Tribolium castaneum: one gene and its partner. The main gene of each other region encodes a partner of the protein of the gene in region 2 in a complex. Links are inferred from orthologs where the notes say so. Each region holds a gene or a part of one and is shown on either strand. Other genes may lie near its edges.

What was found. Proteins that work in one complex are often made in the same cells at the same time.
Region 1: the proteins of prel (region 2) and TP53-regulated inhibitor of apoptosis 1 are in contact, whole or in part, in a crystal structure (PDB 6I3V), measured with the Homo sapiens proteins. The link is inferred for Tribolium castaneum from reciprocal best matches to the Homo sapiens genes PRELID1 and TRIAP1. Residues at the interface, in NP_037369.1 of Homo sapiens: Trp15, Asp16, Phe19, Ala20, Trp23, Gln24, Tyr26, Pro27, Val34, Leu35, Thr36, Glu37, Asp38, Ile39, Val40, His41, Arg42, Val44, Gln48, Lys49, Leu50, Leu51, Ser52, Arg53, Leu55, Thr57, Tyr79, Leu81, Asp83, Ser84; in NP_057483.1 of Homo sapiens: Met1, Asn2, Ser3, Val4, Lys12, Tyr15, Asp16, Phe19, Asn20, Trp22, Phe23, Phe27, Leu28, Gly30, Asp31, Ser32, Phe41, Tyr44, Gln45, Val48, Gln49, Ile52, Ile57, Pro58, Ile59, Leu62, Glu63, Phe64, Met65, Gly66.

The regions. Positions count from the first base shown.
Region 1 is NC_087394.1:7,774,468-7,777,056, reverse strand, and holds TP53-regulated inhibitor of apoptosis 1, read left to right. Parts: upstream 1-1,384; 5' UTR 1,385-1,528; intron 1,529-1,583; 5' UTR 1,584-1,602; coding exon 1,603-1,749; intron 1,750-1,803; coding exon 1,804-1,899; 3' UTR 1,900-2,085; downstream 2,086-2,589. Other genes in the region: uncharacterized protein LOC135266305, read right to left, coding at 1-340. UniProt on the Homo sapiens protein: Involved in the modulation of the mitochondrial apoptotic pathway by ensuring the accumulation of cardiolipin (CL) in mitochondrial membranes.
Region 2 is NC_087397.1:918,466-921,708, forward strand, and holds prel (protein preli-like), read right to left. Parts: upstream 1,802-3,243; 5' UTR 1,560-1,801; coding exon 1,468-1,559; intron 1,421-1,467; coding exon 1,207-1,420; intron 1,156-1,206; coding exon 1,000-1,155; intron 952-999; coding exon 775-951; 3' UTR 520-774; downstream 1-519. UniProt on the Homo sapiens protein: Involved in the modulation of the mitochondrial apoptotic pathway by ensuring the accumulation of cardiolipin (CL) in mitochondrial membranes.

The DNA of each region.
Region 1 (2,589 bases), on a different chromosome or scaffold from region 2:
ATATAACTGACAACAATTGTTTTTCGACTTGAACAGTACTTCGTCCAGTAGCAGCTTGTCGCATTAAATAGGGGCCAACTGTTTGTAAGAGTTGTTCATAAGCCTCAATGGTTACTCGAAAATGTTGCTGAAATTCTTGCTTGGTATAACCAGAAATTGTTGCTTCAATATAATTCTCAATACGTTGAGGTTTCTTAATTTTCCTACTTTTTATAAGCATCATCGTAACAATATTTTCTTCATCAGTTACATCGCTGTCCTCATCAGAAGAATATGTAACCGGAATGCCAAATAACATTTCCGATGATAATACAACAGGGATAGTAATTATGTCATTCATTGTTACGGTTCGTTTGTTGAATTGGTGGGCTTAAATGTACCTATGCCATAAACGGACCAAAGAGCTGATATTATTTGTCACTTACCTACTTTAAACGACAGGTTATATTTTTATGTCAAACAATTACAAGAGTGTCAACTGTCATGTTGCAGTCTACTTCAACCGTTCATAAACTTCAGAAAGCTCTGCATTCACTCTAGGTGAAAATTGCCTTACTCTGACGTCACAACAACACAAGATACTTTAGTTTATGAACGCACTCCAGGGGCATAGCGGTGACAAACTATCAAATATTTTTTGAGGTTACGAAGTGTTTAAATTATGAGTTGTTACAAAAAATACAGATTCACAAAACAAGAACTAATAAACGCAGAATCAAAAACCTAACGAAACGCAAATCACAAAACACAATAAACGAACAGAAAATAGTTGCGATTAACACCGATAACACTTTCGACAACCATGCGACGACGTCTATAATTTACTGTCAATGTCAGTTTGACAAATTCGTGACACTTGATGGTGTTGTCGAAGTGCATATGTAAATTAATGTTCAAGGATACCACCCTTAGATACCCCTTAGTTGTTTAAATTTGCATTGTTTTTGATAATTTTTTTACAGTTTTGTGTTGGTAATGAAAAAATTAAATTGATGACGCACACGCAAACCGAGCTGACCGCCACTATATAACAACTCTCAGATTTCCATAGTTTTGAAACAGAGCGTAGTCAATTAATTTAATTCGCAATTTGACGATTTTTCGCATTTTTAGTCAAACTTGGCGAAATATAATTGCATTTCTGCTCTATGACTGAACAAAATGCTAAAGATAAGGAAGAATAAGTAGAATTTGCATAATTTAGTGATCCTCATTCAAACAAAAAGTTTCGCAAAAAAGAGCTTACATTTTCGACCCAATTTCAGAATTTTTCGAACAATTTTAACGCAAAGTGCAGAACCTCGGCATGACCTTGGCAAAATTGTAAATTATTAGGAGTTATCACTGTTATCAGTAACTAATAAAATATTTCCATTTTTTAAATTTCCAACGTAACGTAACGAAATAACGTAAAGGTAGTGGTAATGCAAAGGTGAGAGATAAGCGCAACGTCATGGAAGATAACGAGCCTAATCGATGGACATAACCTTAAAATCGGGTGTTTTAAATCCCTCGCGCATAGATAACGGTTTGAATAATCAAAATGGGTCATCGTTTGGAATAAACATGAGTTTTGCTTTCAGTAAATCGTCGAAATTCGCTATGGACAGCATTGGAGAGGCGTGTAACGAACTGAAAAAGGACTACGATGCTTGTTTCAATACCTGGTTTTCTGAGCACTTTCTCAAAGGGCACACCAACGACTCCATGTGTGCCCCGCTCTTTAAAGTGTACCAAGAATGCGTTAAAGTGAGTATTTTTCACTTCCTTGTCATGAATTAAATATCGTGAGTTTGGCTTTAGAGAGCAATGAAGGACCAACAAATTGATTTCCACGAAGTTGAGAAGAACTTACTGGGTACTGAACAGGAGAGGAAACCCCCACAAAAAAATAGCTGACCCTGGTCGTCTTTCGTGTGCTCATGGATGTGTTCAAGCATAATCTCAAACCCAGCCATTGTGAGTAGTCAGAACCATCACCAAGTGCAAGAAATGACTGAAGATCCACAATTTGATGTGTAATTTTATTGCGTTGGCACATAAATGTTAAACGTGGTGTATATTTTAATAAAATTTAGAACGGTAGGTTACTGGTCAAATTGTGTTAGATGTTAGAATGCCTGCGAATTCAAATCATTCCTCACCAAAGATTGATTTAATTAAAGTGGCCAATGAGTTCAAAAGAAAGTTGGCAACGCTGTCACCTATTTCGTTGCCAACTTAATTTGAGTCACAGGTCACTTGGGTTAGGAACTTAAAGCATGGTAGAAATGCAGTTTTAAACAAATTTGTTTTATTTTTGAAATACTAGGTGATACAGTTTGGTATTCGCCCCCTCGTAACATGTTTGATATTATTTCCAATGGGAACCTACATTTTATCATAATCAGGAAGATATATTTTTTATTTTTCGTACATGTATTATTTTTATTTTGAGAAAATAATTTTTGTCAAACGCATTCCACTATCGTCTTTTGTTTTCGACTTATAAACAAAAATTGACATTTTAGCGAAATGTCAAAGACTTCATAAATGCACCACCCTGTTACTTTTACTAAAAATTATATTGTTTAAAAACATGTCAAATTA
Region 2 (3,243 bases):
TGCTTTTTAGTGATTGTAATGACGGTTCGACATTATCCATTTAATAGCTTGTAAAATTACTGGTTAATTAATTTTCCAATTGAAAATACGTAAGACTGTCCAGTTTGCTCATCTCACAATCGCTGTAAACGATGACAAAATATTTCGTCCTATTTTTTGGTGAGTGATTCTATTTTATTTCTCAATATTTTTGTTTAGCATTTTTCCTAGCCGAGTTTCAAACAATTATTAGCGAGTGTCCCGTTTGTGACGCAAATGATTACAATCCGGTTTGTTCTTCAGGAAAGGCGTTCAAAAGCGAATGCCATCTTTTGTCACTGCATTGTTCAAAACATGTGGGTATGTATTTTGGTCCCTGAACTTTGACCAGGATATTTTAGCTCCGCAAGGAAGGGTTATTTATGCACACAATTTTTCATTTTTAGTTCTGACAAGCCCCCTCTTTGGAAAATGTCTCCAGTTACATAACCCGAAACCAAACGTCCCAAGCCTCCACTTTTGAGGCCAATAAATAAATGATTAAAGCTAACGTTTTATTAATTCCAATTACAACAAATATATTTTCATGATAATTATACAGGAAACAAATCGGTTCTAGTCCCATAAAAACAGTTAAATCGTGCCCTCGTACGTAATAAGTTCTTAGCTAGATGTTTTTTGGAATAAAAAAAGTATCAAAAACTGAATAAAATCAGCAAATGGAATAGTTACACTTACACAACATTGATACAATTTTCTAATAAGTTGACCAGTTTTAATAACATTGTCTTACATTTAGGACTGATTGGGGTGCAAAGACGCGTAAATTGGGGCTGCCTTTGATTTCGCAAGTTCGGAGGCGTTTTTAGCCGCATCTTTCAATTTACTGGTCGCTGTTATCGTGGCATGAGTTGTGGTAACAGTGCTTTGTAGTGGAAACATGCTAGCAAGGACATGGTTGAACCCTCCCACCTATAATTTTTGCTTTATATTTTGTGTGGTTGCGTTGGTGGAACCTACCATTTTGGAGCAATTTTTCTTGAACCTTTCGTACCCAAATGCACAGATTGCTCGGCTAAAACCTCTGACCTGGGAATCAATCCAGGCAGACCTCACAGCTATGGTCTTCCCAGGCTGGTCATCACTTTGGTGGTAGACAACTTTCTCTGTAACGCTCTGGAAAAAAGGGTTTAAGTCCTGTCGCAGGACGTGATCACGGGCAAATACCATGACTTTGGTGTAGCCAAGGTTCCGGGTGTACGTAATAAAGACTTTATTCACTGGGTCAACAATTGATTCTTCGATAATGTGGACATGTTTGGAGGTGATGAACCTCTCTGCCCACTTTGGAATTGGGTTGGTTTTGCTGAGCAACCGTATGGAAAATAAGCGCCCTGAACGCACATCACGACAAACTGTGTCTTCACTCAGCACATGTTTGCTGAAATTTGGCGAATTATGCAAGTTTTGGAAGTAGAGGCGACTCACCTGTTGGGGTTTGGATATCGCTTCCAAAAGCCTTGAGCCACTTGGTCCCAGGTGTAGTTAAAAATCGTGGTTTGCTCAAAAAACCTGGTCATAGTTGTGGAATTTTCAGAATGATTTATGTAACAGTCGGAATGGAAAAGTTAGCGACATTTCATGCAGTTTAGATTTAATACATCGAAAATATTCCCTTCATATTAGTCACTTGCTTATTTAAATAGCCAATGTCACACCGCACTTTACGAACTGTCAATTTTGTGATATAACCTTATAGGGGATTTTGTAAACAAACTGGAAAGTGACAGGAAACGTGACCAAACTCACGCCATTCACTTGTTTGATTGTTGAATGAATACATGGTTTTTGGAGGGGAAATCATTTTTGGAATATTTTCAAAAAACAGAAATTTATGATCACATGTTAGACCACACATTCTTTAACCTGTGAGTTCAAGTACACGGATACAAGGTCCCATGGTGTAATGGTTAGCACTCTGGACTCTGAATCCAGCGATCCGAGTTCAAATCTCGGTGGGACCTGTGTGATTTTTTCCTTTTTTTTTGGTTCAAAACACAATAAAGTCAACTACATGTTCAATATTTTAACTTAGTGCCGGTTAGAGAGGCTTTAAAAACAAAAAATTAAATTAAAATCGATATGACTCCATATACTCTTAAATTTTAAAAAAACATCGCAAGCAATTTAAGATATTTGATAATGTTGTTTATTTTTAAAATCAAATTTTAAATATAGAATTTAGGTCAAAATTGATAAGATAAAAAACAAAGTATTGGCATTTTTTTATTATCCACGGCAACGAATAAATGGGTGTATTTTGAGCAAGCCCGGGTAGCTCAGTCGGTAGAGCATTGGACTTTTAATCCAAGGGTCCAGGGTTCAAGTCCCTGCTCGGGCGGCCAATTTTTTTAATTTTAAATTGTCTAATTTATCTAACAAATTGTAATATTAACAATTTATCACAATAAAGTCGTGACAATGAAGAAGTTTTGTTTATTTTTGTACCTAAGCTCCTCTTTATATCACATTTAAAAAGGATGTTTACTTTCTTAAAAAATTCTTTGATAATAATTAATAAATATAAAGTAATAACATTCATAATGATAGTCACTACAAAACAGGCAAACAGATAAATTATTTCATGTTTTATTGCTGATTGACTATATTTTAAAGAGAACAAACATTCAACAACATATATTTTTGTAATTTGTTTATTCTTACAACAGTAAAAACTCACACTCAAATGCAGAGATAATATTATTTATGAATTTAGTTGGGGCTTTCAGTAACAATTTAATGACTAGAAATAACATAACGGGGACACAATAACCGGAAATTTGTTTGCGATTTCCAACTACTGTAATTTCACAGTTATGATCCTTTAAAGCACCGGAAAGTTTGACTAAGGCCTCTCCACTTATAATAAGCTTCCTCCAACGGTTTTTTGTTTCTTACGTAACATTTTGAGACAAACTGTTGACCAGCGTGTATAATAACTTAGGAGAATCAACTTGACCTAGTTCATTAAGATGGGGTGGAAACAAGAAGAGCCTAAGTTAACCCCTGTGGACTTGAAAGTCTACATTAGTTTAGAGTCAGACATCGCAACCGCAAAAGCAGTCGATAATAAAGCTGAACTAACCAAACGCCACTAATAGATTTTTGGTGGCTTTCTGATTCTTTTTTATCGCTAATGATTTTGAACTTTGCAAAACGCCAAATGTATGGTTTGATCGCGCAGAGGTTTCAGATATTTTTCCC